Arabidopsis thaliana: one gene and its partner. The protein of the gene in region 1 interacts with the protein of each later gene in a pairwise test. Each region holds a gene or a part of one and is shown on either strand. Other genes may lie near its edges.

Region 1 (8,284 bases):
TTCTAATTACAGTATTTTTAGTAAGTTTTTTTCAGTGATATTTATCTGCTCGAAGACAATCAAATGACGGCAAAGAAAACATATAGGCATGGTCAATTTACAACTTGTTTGTATATATACAAATTGCAATGATTTTTTTTTTATGGCATTAGTTGAGTATACTAGTATCTATCAATTTCTTTTGTTAATGGGTCAAAGATTTTGCAAAAAACAAAAATAAAAATAAAATTAGAAAGATAATTAACCAAGTCTCATTAGCTCAATTAGTAAAGATGCTAGACAAAACTTAAGGTCACCGGTTCGAATGACGATAGGGACAAAACTAATATTATATATTTTGTTTTTGGGTCTAGAGAATTACAGGTTTTCCCCAAAACCTCCCTAAAAAAAGGAAAAATAAAGATACTCGAACACATTATTCAGCAATCAACATTGTTCATTATCATTTTGATCCTACTCATTTCACTGTTTTTGAACGTTCAATAATCAAACACAGAAAACTGTCATCTTTCATTTTAATATCTTATTTAACGTGAGACAAAAAAAAAAATTGAATTGGTAGAGTGACTTTGTCATCGTTTTTTTGTCAACATAATCACGTTTATAATTAAACAAAATACCTTAAAAACGTTTTATTCTGGCAATACAAACGTTCATATGGAGATCTCGAAGGTTTGGTTTGACTGACAGTTACTCTTTACCACTTGATTTTGCATGACTCACATGTGTATTGAAAACAACAAATTCAGCAGAATAATAGACAATCCTTTGATTATTTTGTATCAAACATGTTTAGTTGTAAGATTTTCCCATAAATGGCCCTACAAGTGGATTACAAAAATAAATGTCTTAGGCTCCGATTATTAACCATTTTTGAGGAAAAAAATGAGTACGAAAGTCGTGTTCATCTTTGTTCCTCAGTTTTTTTTTTATCATTTGCAAGGTATATTTGTTTCATTTTCAGACATATGGGTCCTACATTTTTTCTTATCATTCCTAAAAAAAAAGAATGGTAGAACAAAATTGTTCCACTCCAAAATTGTAGAGGAACCAAGAGAAACAAAAAAAATAAAATTCGTTTTTATTTATTAAATAAATTTAAAATAGCTTTTATGATAATATTTATAATTATATATATAAAATTTTCCATATATTTAGTATATATTGATATATAAATTGTTTTTTATCAAACTTTCAATTTAATGAATGTTATGAATTTATTTTAAATTAGTATAAATAAATGTTTTAAAGTGAATTTTTTACTATAAAATAAATAAATGTTTTGAAGAGAAATTTATAATATAATTTATTTTAAATTTATACAAAACTTTAATTTTAAAAGAAATTAATAAACAAAATTCAATAAATAATTTTTTAGTAATTATTATGTTAAATATTAATTCACCTTTCTGGTTACCATTTACCATAATCATTTTGTTCAATTCCTATGTTCCTCTTGGTTCCTACTTATGACCATTTTTCTTTTTTTCTTGTTTCTTTTTGTTATTTTTCATTCATATTCCTATCGTTTCTTTTGTTTATCACCAATCGGAGTCTTAAAAGTAATTACCAATCACAAAAGTTTTACCAAAAGCATCATTCTTAGTCTTTATTTTCAAAGTTAATTTTCACCGCCTTTAACTATTCCGATATTGCTTATACCTTCTTTTACCTATAACAAACTTGTATGGTTTTGTATCACCAATGGTATTAATGTATATTTGAGGGGGGGGGGGGGGAACTTATCTAAAGAAAAACAAATCATACCTAAAAAAATAGAGATGGAGTTTCTGAGGAGCAAGGGTAAGAGAGTGAATCATGGGACCCCATCTCACAAAGAACACACACATAACAAGAAACCAAAACAACTCATGTGGCTTTCTGCTCAAATCTACTGTTAGATTTTTCTTCAGACCAATGTTGGAGTAAAATGGATGTCAATTTTTTTACGATATCTAAGCACAAACGTACACAGTTTTCCACGTACGTTAACTCTTTCTCTTTGGTTTTACCAATTCTAACCAGTCACCACACAAAACCATTCTGCATCTCTTGTCTCTTCTCTCTTTTTCCTTATCTTTCTTCTAAATAAATAATATTTATACACTTACTCTATTCAACAATAATTAAGTAGGATTAATCATCGCCTTCTATGACAAGCCTCATGAAACTTGCTTCTTACTCTTTGACTTTGCAAAACTTTTCACATGAAAAATCTGCTTTCTGTTTAACTCATTAGCTAATACTTTTATATCCTTAATAAAGAAAAATCATATATACAGTACTTATATCGCATAGTCATCTTACCACCACTTATTTTGTATCATGTACACATTTACATCAAACAGTGTTAGTGTTAAAGTCAGTAACGCCAAATTTTGCATTCATACTATAAAATCTGAAATGATTGTTTTCAACACTAACTCTTAACTTTTAGGTTTCAGAATTTAATCAACAACAATATGATTCTGTACTTTTTCGTTTTTACCTTTTAACTTGTTATCATTCGAAGTTCTTTGTTCAAAAGCTATAAATCTATTTCCATACTTAACCACTACTACTAGATTTAGTGAACTCTTAACATGAAAAATATCTAATTTCAAAAATAATTTAGATATTGGTACAAAGATCCCCAAATGTTCCATACATTGTGAGAATTGATAGAAAAGGGAAGAAAAAAATGTATAACACATTGTATAAGTTACATAACTCAAGTATATATATTGAAACAAAGAATAAGGTATAATGAAAGTAGAATCAGCAGAAGTTCCATAATCTGATATCTCCTTCCTCAAAGAAATCATCAGAAAGTGATGTTGTCAAATACGGCGCGGAGACTCCATTAATGAACATGAACTGATCATCACCATCAAAGCAGTTGTACCATGATGATGATTCAGACAAGGAGACTTGTTGGTCATACTGTGACATGGAGACAACATCATAGAGATCTTCAGATGGAGAGGAAAGCAATGGAGATGAAGTAGAGACTGATGATGAGGAAGGATCTGTGTTGGCAGCAGCAGCTGCAGCTGCTACTCTTTGTATAGACTTAGGGGACATGTCATTGTTGTTATCACCATTGTTGATAATATGGTAGAGAGAAGTTGAGATCTCTGGGAAGTTGAGATTATTAGCTGAGGATCCTTTAAGACATAGGAGTGCTGCGTCGTAGGCTCTAGCCGCGGCTTCAGCAGTTGAGTAAGAACCAAGCCAGATCCTTGTCTTTTGATTAGGAGCTCTGATCTCTGAAACCCATGAACCCCAACTTCTCATTCTCACTCCCTTGTACTTCTTCATCCTTATGGATGATGATGATGTTGATGAGGATGATGAAGATGATGATGATGGAGATGACATTCTCTTTGGTGTCTTTTGAAGTGTTTTCACCATTTTTGATACTAATTAAGGGAGGAAGTTGGAGGAGAAGAATGGTGTGTTTCTATTTATAGAGAACAAAAATGGAAAGAGAAACATAAAGAACTCAAAAGAAAAAAAAATACTATGAACATAGTCAAAGAAAGTAGCATGGGGCACACACAAAGAGATTAATACTTTTCTTTTAAATAATGTAAGAGACAGGTGTTTTTAATTTATTTATAAAAAAGATTTTCCTTAATCACAATCCCATATGCTACACCCAATCACAGATCACTAATAAGAGAATCCCTATTTTTTATTTTCAAAAATGCATATTTATTGATTTGACCTCCAAGGCTCCAAGCTAATTCTTTAGTTCCACAAAAGTACACTATTGTTTACAACTAAAAGTTACTACTTCTTGAGCCTCAGAATCTTGAATAAAAATGTAAATAACAAAAATCAGTACTCATATGAGAATATTAATATCAAGATACGACAGAAAGTTATAAAACATTATAAGAGGAAACATTGGATTCTATTTTTAGAGGCAACTTCTAGGAGCTAAGAGCATGTGATTTTTTAAGGTACAAACAAAAGACAAAGTTAATCATAAGAATAATTTAACTATCGAATTATTTTGATAAATGAGATGCAAAATGAAATCACATGCATGATTATAGATATATATATATATATATATATAATACAAAAATTACAAGTTTTTTTTTTTGGTTAAAAGGCCTAAACATAATTCAGAATCTTAAACGTTAAAGTAGCTGAAGTCATGTTTACCAAGGTAATGCACAAGAGCTGGTGCTCTTCTGTCTTAATGGGACTTTTAAAACCGCGTTAACTAGCTCTTTGTGTCTCCTTGTCACACGTAAAATTCTCTCTGTAAAAAGGCTTTTACTAAATTAATTAAATTCAGATTCTTTTGTCAAACTGCATTGTAATATTAAATAATATTGTACTACTAACTAAATAAACTAAAGTAAAATCGTCAAACCTCATAATAGTCTTGCACTGTTTATTAACTAAACTAATCTGCGGTTATATTTAGTCGGCACTAGAATTAAATTAAGACGCGTAAGAGTACTACTAAACTAATCTATTCGTGTTCACGTTCTAGCCAGACGACTCTATTTCTTTTTTCTCTTTTGGGGTACTATAATATAACAATAATGAAGGTTTTTTATTCATATCAAGAAACGAATCAACAGAATTGTTCGTTGGAAAATGCAGGCAACATTTTACAAAAGTTTATGATAAAACAAAACCAACAATGTTCTACCATTTTTATATTAATATTTGCACTCAATGACTGTAATTACAAACGTGGTATTTGAATAAATAATCAAATTAATTCCATCTAAAGAGAATGATTCAAATTTTGACTATTTTACTTTCTTTTAAGAAAAATAATAGTTATAACTAAATCTTACGTGACGAATTCTTTAACATTAGTATTCTATGTGCACATCTAATTTATCAAAATGAAGTTTTTATATGTTTTGGCTCTTATATCTACAACTTGTAGAACACATTTCCTCTACTACATTATTTTCGTTATGTAGACATCTAATTTATAAAACATATTTATGTTTTTGTCATATAATCATGTTATCTATGTTTTTGGATATATCTATATTATTTAGCGGGTTAAAATATTTGTATATCCAAGCTTATCAAATAAATTATACTTTTCAAAGTCATTTACGGAAAAAAAACATTTTACATTTTCTCTCAATATTTTACCAATATGACTTTGCTATTTTCTAAAAACAACTATAACATTCTCATTCACCGAAAGATATCTCCATTTCATACCATTTAACTAATTCACTATTTTACATTTATTTTTATTTACCAATAAATATTTTCTTTTCACCACAATGTCACCATATTCACCCAATCACATTCTTTGTTGATTGTTTTAGTGTCTAGAGCTCGACAGTCTGAAGCTATACGTGTAACTGTGTAAGAACAAGAAGAAGATGAGTTACATTGTGTCATAAAGCTTGAGTGATCGGATCGGGTAAAATCCGAGAAGCTAAAGCAATTAAGCTAGCTACCTAACGAAGAATAGTGAGCGAACCCTACCTGAGGAAATAGACAAATAGAATCATAAATGAAGATTCATGCATAATGCATGTACTTTTGCACTAAAAATATCCTATTCGTAGTTTGGACAATCTTACCTGGCACCGTACTCAATATATGACCTTCCGTACCTTTCTTATCAATCAATCAATATTTTTCTTACAAGAAATATTTAACAAAGTTTTGTGGTTACAAGAAATAAATTAGAAAGAAACATTTAATGGTAACGAGTTAAGCCAGAGTGGAAATAAATTCGTGTGGTGGAAACTTAAGAGGAACGTACGGAGAAGTTTCTCATTAGGATTGAAGAGTGTGTTGGATGGTGTAGAGGCAAATGCACATGTGTGGATTGTGACAGAACAGAATCAAATCCTTTGTTTTTGATTTCATTAGATTGAGAAATTTCCTAGAAGCAGAAAAGATTTATGACAATAGAGATTTCAAGATTTTAGTTGTGGTTGTTGAGTGAATTCAGTAGGAGACAATACTCCAAAATTTACATATTTTTTCTTTGATACTGTAAAATTGATTCAAGCCTGGTTCGTTTTTCCCACCTTGGCTCCAAATTGTAGGAGCTACATCAAAGTTCACTGCAGGAGATTAATATTGCCTAGTTAGATATAGAGTCAATCGTCTAAATCTATTTGAGTGCGTTTGTGAATCAACATATGGTCAAGAAGCCTATCTTAGAACAACATATGGACATCATTGACGTCTTCAAATGATGTCCGATCTTGGCAAAAGCTTTGTCCTAATGTTTAAATAGCCCATTTCCACATCTGTAATTTGTTGGGATATCTCGTCGTGCGTTCATCTTTGAATCCTTTTTTCAATGCATTGAAAACAATGATTTTAGTTCAAACACGCTTAATTTAGCTCTAAATATTTTTTAGGACGAGGTACAAAAAATATTGCTTTTGGGGTCCATGAGTTATAGAAATGATAGGTGTGCACTAGCTATCACTTGATGTTAGGGTCCTTAGGTTGAGAGTGGATATGAAGGCCTAGATAATGGTACTCGAGGCGCTATAAATGGTATCAAAGTTGAACCTAGATGAGTGTGGAGTCATGTGACCTCCCACCATCGAAAATGACGGCCCTGATACGCAACAAGGACATTGTGCTTGATTGGTAAGGGTGATGGTAATATATACCTTGATTTTTAGAAATATACAGTAAAACCTCTATAAATTAATAATGTTGGGATTGTAAAATTTTATTAATTTAGAGAGGTTTTAATTTATCGATAAATTAATAAATTTTATAGAGAGACTTTCCTAATTTAGTAACTTTTAAAACATTTCTATAAGATTCTTTTTTCTAGAAAATATCTTTGTAGAATCAATTACAAGTTAAAAATAATATCATGTATAGAAAACAACAGTAAAAGTTTTTGATACAGTAACATATTAGAATTAAATTTCAAATAAGAATAAATACAAATTTAAGCAAAACAATATTAGAAATATGTTTCAAAGAAATTTCTTACATATAATGTATATATATAATTGATATATTTATGCAATTATTAATTTATAATATTGATGGGACCATATATTTACATAAGACTTTAAAAAAAATTATTATCTTATTAATTTATCGATTTGTGTTACTTTTTACACTGGTCCCAACTCGGAACCGGAAGAATTTATTAATTTATAGAGATTATTAATTTATCGAGTATTAATTTATAGAGGTTATACTGTAGTTGTACATGAAAAGCGCTTAAGGAAATTGATTTGTTTACCTATGTCACTAAGTAGCCTCGACTCAACAATAATTAGAGTTTTAGGGTAATCTTTCTTTTTTGGATCCTTAGAGCACCTCCAATGGTATATCTTAGGTGTATCTTAGGCTAATATCTTAGAATTAAATTCTGAAAAATAATTCAAAACAGATTAAAAACTAAAATTCACTTCTTAGCTTAAAGTTTTTTATGAGTGATAAATACAATTATGTGTCATGTTCCAAAATTTTAATTTTAATAATTGTTAAGATGCAAGGTTAAGAACCTTAACCATTGAAGATGGTCTTACTATATATTTAAACTAAAATTTTCATATTTTTGAGCAAATTTATACACAAAAAAATGTTGGACCTTTGCTAATATTTTTTAAAAGCGGATCTAAATATTAAAAGACTGGGCTATAGTCTAAATATTTTTATTAAAATGGGCTTTGAAACATAAGATTTTTTAGGAAAAAATGTGACTAGGCCTCTAGACCGCTGCCTCTTTCTCTACCTATTTGGGCCAAGCCTGGTGTACTTATCGTTTTCGTAACACTTACCGACTAAACTCTAGAGTTTATCATGCTTGAATTATTGGTGATCTATTGGAAACTGATTTCCAGTACAATGAAACAGAGGATAAAACACATAAAAAGATCTCATGATAATTTATAGGATCGGTAAATAAGTTTTTTTTTTAATCTCCTAGGATAGCATGCCGACTATCGAACGAGAATGAGACTCACATACTAATAGAGAACATAGATCTATAATGGTAGTTCATATGACACATTAAGGTTTATTTGACTTTGAGACATTAAGTTTCAAACTAGATGATCAAGTACTATGTGATTTTAGAGATTCTCTTTTCACAAATGGTAGAAATACACTTTTTCCCCGTTTTCCCGAGAAAAACAGCACAAACTCTTCTAACATTTGGGCTTACAAGAAGAAACTAAAGTCCACGACGAGAGAAAGGTCCACAACAAAATTGCCGCCAAAGGAAGAATTTATCTCCAGCTCAAGATACCATCATGAACAGAATCACCAATAATTTTTAGTCCAACACAAGTAAATAGAAGATGAAGTAGAT
Region 2 (8,390 bases), on another chromosome or scaffold:
ATTTAGTGGTTTAGGTATTTATGATTATGTTGACAAAAAATGTAATATTTCTTTATGTTTTGATTAGTGGTAATATTACTTTTTTTTTCTTTTGTCGATGATAGACCCTGTCCAAAGTAACAAAAGGGCCAAGTTACAATAATAAATAAATAATAGAACCCCACTTGAGAAAACTTAAGACTAATCAAGTAGGGAGTTAGATTTTGCATTAGAAGGATATAAATGCATAGTCAAGAAATGTGCAAAAAGGGTAATTCCAAAGTGCCGGTTTCAGGTCACAGCTGTGATTTATGTCTATATGTCTTGATTCAAGTAATCAACTAATTTCACTCTCCAGCCTTGTTTTTAGTTTTTTACTCTCTTTCGTGTTTGTTGGCTTCAACCATAATTGTTACTATTACTTCTGTCTAAAACGAAATACAAACTAATTTTGCAATTTATCATCAATGATATACCACACTACGTACTAATAGCAAAAGAAAATTTAGTTTACGTAATATATTTTAACCTTACTTTTTAGAATCGACAATGTAATCCATTATGTTAGTTTCAGTAGCTAATGAGACTCTGTTGGTGTTGGTGTTGTTGTTAGATTCCATTGTAAAAAGTAAACTGTAATAGGAATTTAATCTAGTTTCTTAACAAAAAAATAAAAATAATCTAGGTACATGATTATTATTAGTAGTACTGAAACTTCTAGAAGAATAGAGGCTTAAGAAATGTTTTTTACTGCAAGCAAAGAGAAAAGGTAGATGCATGAACATCCCAATGCTTTTTAGATGTTATAGGTAAGTTGACGGGGACCGGAGGCTGATGTACTTTCCTGTTGTACATTGTTTTGTTGGAGTCCCAATGAGGTCCTTTGTCTACATTTCTCCTCCTTGAGAAAATCACAAACTTACATTAAACAAAATAAAATTTTAAAAGACTTCTTTTTTAACTAACAGAAAAGAATTGGCTATTATCTATCATTTTCTTCAACCAAAATAATTGAATTATGTAGTAAAATAGAAGAAATTCTCATATTAGATAGCAGGAACAATTGATAAACTAAACCAACAGAAAAAAGGAAAAAAAAAAGGGAATAAAGTCAATAAACAGTATAGGTAAATTATGTTTAATTTGATAATTTTGAATAATATTTTAACTAGCAAATTTCACTTCCTGCAAAAACATTATTTATCACACTAAAAACACAAAGTTGATAGCCTAATGGTTTATACGAACTCTTTAAAAACGGCAAACGTATTTCAGTAACACAATATTAAATACAAGATGTAATATTAATGAAAATAAATAGAGCATTTGCCGAATTTAATGAAATAGTAAAGCAAGTTGGGTGGTGCCAGCAAAATAAAAAATCGAGAAATTTTCATTATTCGTAGATTTTGAATATGGAGGATGCATTGCACCTAACAGCAGTGGTTTTATATGCTTTCCCGTGGATTTGGCCTTTCTTTGGTATTTATTATTTGACCATTTGGTTTATATTCAACATTTTTCTATTTTAAGTAGTTTCATTTTTTATTTGGTCTGCTCCTTCTCAACTTGGTAGGCCTTTACAGCTTCGTTGATGCAGTCGACCCAGAAAAGTTATTCCCTTTGCAGTTTTTGGTTAAAGAATTTATGGTAAGACAAACTAGAAAGAAAGACTTAAACATTTCGAAGATCTTTTGGTTTTCTTTGTATATTATAAATTACATAGCTAGGTAATATAATCGATCATGTTAAAATTTAAGACACTAAAAACTAAATTTGAAAATAAGATTAGGTATTTTATTAGGATATTATTTTTAATTTACAAATATGCTTGTTTTTTTTTTTTTTGGTGCAAACAAATATGCCTTAGTATTTATTTGAAACAAAATGGGCCAAAATTATTCTTCCAATTAAGGCCCAAAAGCGATCATTCACCTAATTTTAGATCAGGCAGGCTTGATAATTGGGAAGATTATTATGTGTTTTTAAACACTGATTCACCATCCATAAGTTATGTGCTTCTGTTTTGATTTCAGGGTTTTTAAATATGTAATTTTGCCGAATCAAACGGAAAAAAATTGAATACGAAAGGTTAAAAAAATGACTTCAGATGATTTTTTTGTTAAAGACTTTCAGATAATTAGTGTCCACATATGACATCGGTGTGTAACCACAGATGTGAGATGACAAATCCTCATAAAATATACACAGATATATAAACCTTTACACTGTTGCACACAACCCATGTTCGCGTTGTTCTCCTTCCAAATCGGTACCAAAACGTTTGCCCGTGAAACTTTCATTTCGCCAAAATAATATAATATATTAAAATTAATATACAAAAAAAAAACCTATTTCTAAAAAGAACCTCGAATTTTAACGAGAGACAAAACAGAAAAAATATATATAGCATCGTTAATTATTAAATCATGTAAACGAGTGTCCACATTTCTCGTACAAGTACAACAATCTATCACCTAATTCTTCGGAATTCACCTGGCCATTTTTTATCTGAAGATGCATAGAGTAAAAGAGTCGCTCTCCATGAGACCTTGAAGATGAAGCACCCACAAGAACCAACCCATCTTCTTCTACACCACTCAAGACATTCCCAAACGAACATTTTTCAGTCTGTAACGATGAAATTTGGACCATCACTTCAGTCTCACTGAGCCTAGTCGAAGAAACTGTCGACGCATAGCTTGTAACCCCTTCCTCTGACTTACTGTTTTGGTCGGTGTAAACGAGATCTCTTTGACCCGAAATTTGAAACGAGAGCTCTTCTTTCTTCTTCATGAGCTTTTTAACTTGCTCTTGCAGCTCTGGTATGTACTTCAATGCTTGTGAAACTGTTGCCGAAACACTTAACTTCTTCTGCAAGAAAATACATAAAAAATAGGACAGATCTTTCAGTTTATGTTACTTGGGACCGATTTTTTTTTCCTTCTTTGCGTTAGAAAAAACAAAACATATCACTGTTTGTATCAACACCAAAATTGCAAAAGCAATGAATAACAACTTTTAGCATTTGCAAGAAAACATTTGATATTTTTTTGTTTCTGTTGAATATTAAACTAAACTTTCAAATTTTTTCATAATTTTAGAAATAGAAAAGTATATAGAATTAACAGTTACCGTTTGATTGGTGGGAGGAAGACAAGAACGAAGAGATGAGAACATTGTGTTGATCTTCTTGCGACGCTCACGTTCACTCGCGTTGTGATTAAGCTTCTTCATCACCACGGGATTGTCTAGTAATGTTCTGTTATTCTCAGACGACACATTCTCATGAGTCACCGTCAAGTCCGGCAACGGAAAATCAAGAAACGTGTTGGATACGTCGTCGGTTTCATAGAAGCTATGATCTCCGCAAGGCCAGCCGAAATTGGGATATAATGGAGGGACAAGTGCACACATTTTGAGTTTTAGATAGTTACTCTGTTCTTTTTTGTCTCTCTCTAGAAGCTGTTTCGGTTGGGATTATGCTGATGTGTTAGTTGGATTATTTATGTGGACACTCATTTTTGTTTATATATACACTGATACACACACACGGACACAAGAAAAATACTAATGACTCTGTGTTGTATATGTAATAAATTAAAATACATTGGGTCACGAGTGGACATGCGTTGACACGTGGTTGAGCACTTTTCCCCCAAGTAGGAGCATGTTCCAAGGATCACCTGTTGACCTCCGGATACAGGCATTAATATCCTAATGTTCTTATCGTAATTTATAACATAAGTTTACACTATTGTATCGTATAATTACATGAATATGAATGTATGAGTATTAATCAAAAATTCTAAATATTTTATAATGTGTCAAAATAGAAATTCGATTTATTAAGCAAATTATTTAGTTAGCAAAAAATAACAGTTAAATAGGAACAACTACTATAAGAAGATACAGAATATGCAATCACATTTTTCTACCACAAATACGTTAAGTAAACTAAGACCAAAAATATGAATTATGACGCAGCTGGAAGAAAAGAGACAGACACTGAGAAGAAGTACACGAGGATACACGGGTTTGGTGGACGTGGACTATTGAGAGGCACGAGCAAATCACGTGGAATATGTTAAGGCTTTTCTCCTGAATCCAACCATTTCTATGTAGTATATACGTAGGCATTAAGTGTTTACAAATATTTAACAAATGTATATTCCTTATTTAAATTTATTAATTACATCTTATATGGTGTAGTGTCTATCGTTTATTTTGTATTATATTATAGCCTTTCTGATCATATTACACAAGTCAACTCCGGTCATCTCGGTCAGGCCAAAAGCCTTGATTCTATTCTATTATCCATGGACGAGGATAAAAGAGAGACGGAGATATTTTGGATTTTTCCTCATTCTATTTACGCCTCTTTAAATCCAAAGATCTAAATGGGCTTCTCTAAAAACAATTGGCCCTAAGATAATTGCTTTTTCTTTTTCTTTTTTTTGCAATGAGTTTACATGTTTGTAGCCCATTATATGTAGATAATCTCTAAAATGTGAAGTATTTGACTATTTGTCAACAATTATGAACATAATGTTAAAATACAACCCACAATAATCACAGATACAGTTTGATTAGATTTATCCATTGATATGTTGGCAACTTTTGGTATTGTCCATACGTTGCCTAGGTTCAACTCTAAATTTCCATTTTTCTTGATCTCTTCTTGATCACATATTTAAAGAACTCAATTCTCCTTCTTTTATAAGCAAATGTCGAAAACAGTACAACACTTCGGTTCGGATTAAGAACGATCATGAAGCTTATTATTGATCTTTTATTATACATTGTTTTCTGGTTTTCTACATTAGCCGCAACATATATTACACACATTATGCTACAAAAGAGAAATGGAATATACAAAACTGCTCACACAAAAAAAGAAGAAGCTAAAACTGAAGTCTGAACATGTCTCTGAACCATTTCTCTCATATGCTTTTGCTTCAGACCTTCACTCCTATCCGTTGAGCAACCTGCAGAACAAAACAAAAGCACATTCATTTCAAGTAAACCAATGATTTTTAAATTCTTGAGAGATTTGAGCAAAACCAGAGAGATTCGTTTACCTGTTTAAATGACGTAACTTCACTTCCCCAGAGCCAAGCGTCACAGCCTGCGTCTCTAGCTCCCCATACATCATTCCTACGGTCATCTCCTACATGAACCGCATCCTCGGGATTCACTTCTAATAACTCACAAGCTTTTAAGAAGATAGTCGGGTTTGGTTTTTCCGCTTCAACCTGTTAAACATTCAACCAAAAACCTTAAGTATTTACACACTCACTCCCAAAACGTTTCGGATCATCAACAAAAATATATAAACGAAAAGAGGTTATCTTACTTCTGCTGAAACAGCTACAGCATCAAACCAATCTTCACATCTCAATGCACGTAGGAGAGGTCTTAACCGAGTATCGAAGTTGGAGACTATTGCAACTTTTACACCCGCTTCTTTAATAGCCTTAAACACTTTCCCTGCATCTGGATCACATAACTTCCACGCCTGGGAAAGCAAATGGAGAAATCTCAAGAGAAAGAACCAAAACTATTACTGAAGCATATGGAGAAGTAGTAGTAGAGATCAAACCTGTTCTGTAGTAAAATAGCTGTAAAGCTCTTCAAAGTACTGTGAATCCGAGCAGCCTGTTGATGCAGTCACTATATACTGCCAGAAAGGTCTTGCATCGTTTACATATCTACAAACAAAGAATCAAAAATCAAGACCAGCACAGAAGTAAATGTCTTAAGCAGACCCATTTATGAATCCAACAGAGATTCCACAGCAAATGTATATTCGAAAGAGTCAGTATTAAACCAGATATCTTTGTACGGAGATGCATCACTAGAGTCATAATCATGATCAAGTATTAAAAGTTGTCATACAAACAAATAGAAAGCCACAAAAGAACATTTTGCCTAGTGGTGATTTTCTTGGAGTAGAAGAAACAAAAAGAGAAAGAAGATGATTCTAAATACCTAAGATGAGATCCACCCCATGGTTTCTGATAAGCTCTTCTGTATCTAGTAAGTATCTCAGCCTCCGAGTACTCCACTCCGTACTTCTCTCCAATATTCTTATATATCTACAAAATCAGAATCCATAACACATCTTAGAATCTACACAATAAAAATCTCTATCTACTCTTCTAAGAACAAACAGAGATCATAAAAAGCCTAAGACATTCTTAACATAACAATAAGCATCAAATTTTTACTCAGAATCAAACATGAATCCTCAAAATGCTCATAGCTTTCTAAAAAATTTCAATCACAGAGCAAGAAACATGTGAAGCATTTGTTCAACTGTTGAATCACACAAAGTAACAGAGAAATTTGAGAGACCTGAGCAGTAGGTTGAGCGGGAACAAGGAGAGTACCAACAGCATCAACAAGCAAAGCCTTATGAGTGATCTCACCATAGAGAGATCTCCTATAATCTTCATACTCTTTCAACACACTTCCCAATCCGTAAATCCCACTAGATTCATCATCCGCTACAACAGCGGAAGATGACGAAGCAGAGGAGATCCAACGGCTGAGCAATGCTCCGGTTCTCGCGATCCGATCCGTTCCATGAGTAATCCCACCGGAGAAGAGAAGTGTCGTCGTCGCCTTCCTGATTCTCAACGCCATTAGCTGCTTCTGTATGATTGATTTGATTGTTCCGTTATCTTCGGCTTCGTCTTCGTCTGGGGATTATAAAAGGAGAAGAAGCGTGTGCGGAGAATCTTTAACGCATAAAGAGAGATGTGTTGTTACGGTTATACCCTTTCATATTATTATCCGTCTACAGTTTTTCTACCCTATCCGCTAATCAGAAGAACTGATGATGTGGCATTTTTAAAAACTTGTTATTACACTCTTAATCTTTAATCATGAGTTTTTTTTTTTTGTTAAAGAAACCATATGAGTCTTATAATCCTGAGATATGAAGAAAGGGTTGTGTTTTGAATTTTGGTTTTTAAAGTTGAGATCCAGATTAAAGTTATGTACTTGACACACAAAAATAGCTTTATCTTTCTTTATAAAAAAACAAAAAGTAAAAAAAGATTTATCATTATTTCTTTTTCAATCAGAATTATTTATCTTGTTCTATATATTGATTATTGATATATGGATCCGTGTTTTACATGCAGATATTCTTCAAGAATTCACAAACGTCTACTTGTCTGATTGATGATATATTACGTTGTTGAAACATCAAATTAGCCAATAAAAAGGAATAAATGCATACAATTAGTTTTCTTGTAGTATTTATTTTCACATCGAGAAGGATACTATTATTTCGTGGAAAAACGGTTAAGCTTAAGCTTCATTAAATTTTAGCTTTCACATCGACAAGGATAAAAAGTTTTATCCACAAATATTTTTGGATAAAAGTCATGAAAAGAAAAGAAGTGGGAAAATTGGGCCCTAACCAATTATGTGTCATGCAAAGTAATATAAGGATACAATTGAAGAACTGGTCTATTTTAGAGGGACCTCTTTAGAAATTCGTGGCTTATAAATTGACAAACGGGCCCACGTGTTGACAAATATGGGCCACAAAATTTAAGGAGTATATAGTTTTGGGCCATTTTATGCATAATTTGATTGACTATTAACAAAATGCCGAATTCACCAACATGGCTAAGGAAAATGTTTTGTTCCACAAAATTTTATGGCTTTGGTTTATTTCATGAGCTTTTTGGTCGATTTCATCATTTCGTATGGAAAAACGAACAAAATAAGATTTGGTTTAGTGTTTCTTTGGATAGACAATGAGTCCTTTATACGTATGTGTCTATGTGGTATAATAAGACATCACGATGTTAAAGAAGATTAGAAAAAGTCTTATGGATAAGGAAACATAAATCCATAATTGGACCCATTTTGGAGAATTTTGAGTTAACGTTCAAAAACGACGTTTCTTCTCAAGTTTTTCTTTATCCAACCTTTTCCAGTAAAACTAACAGTTAAGTATTAAATAGATTTCGAAGCATATGATTTATTCATAATGTTTACTTACTTAGAAAGTTCATTTGGTAAAATAAGAATAAGAAGAACATCCAAGGGTTCAAAAAGGATCACTCGGGAAATAGATGAAACGTCTTAAACGCCAGTAATGAAGATCTCTCTGAACTCGAGTGTCTAACGTAGTAACGTTCGATACCCATTTTTAAAAAGTAATAACGTTTTCTAATCATTATGCTAGCCTCTTCTCTTGCTTAGATAATGGTTTGGTTAGGTTATTTTATCAGAAATGTTGAATTTGGTCTAAGTAGTGCTATTTCAGTTCTATCTCCTATACCGGTCGGTTCATGGTTTCTGTTTCTAATCCCTTTTTGCTTTCTTTTCTTTCATTTAGATCAATTTTAGTGATATTACCAAAAGAAGGAGGAGGGTTTGAATTGGTA

Evidence for each region. Proteins that work in one complex are often made in the same cells at the same time.
Region 2: the proteins of AT1G44830 (region 1) and BHLH100 interact in a two-hybrid assay, tested with the Arabidopsis thaliana proteins (one large-scale study listed by BioGRID).

Annotation. Positions count from the first base shown.
Region 1 is NC_003070.9:16,928,901-16,937,184, reverse strand, and holds AT1G44830 (Integrase-type DNA-binding superfamily protein), read right to left. Parts: upstream 3,487-8,284; 5' UTR 3,394-3,486; coding exon 2,758-3,393; 3' UTR 2,617-2,757; downstream 1-2,616.
Region 2 is NC_003071.7:17,195,925-17,204,314, forward strand, and holds BHLH100 (basic helix-loop-helix protein 100), read right to left. Parts: upstream 3,531-8,390; 5' UTR 3,397-3,530; coding exon 3,115-3,396; intron 2,854-3,114; coding exon 2,407-2,853; 3' UTR 2,113-2,406; downstream 1-2,112. Other genes in the region: AT2G41250 (Haloacid dehalogenase-like hydrolase (HAD) superfamily protein), read right to left, coding at 4,938-4,967, 5,061-5,234, 5,336-5,497, 5,582-5,690, 5,971-6,077, 6,337-6,627. UniProt on the Arabidopsis thaliana protein: Plays a role in metal homeostasis. Confers tolerance to high zinc (Zn) and nickel (Ni).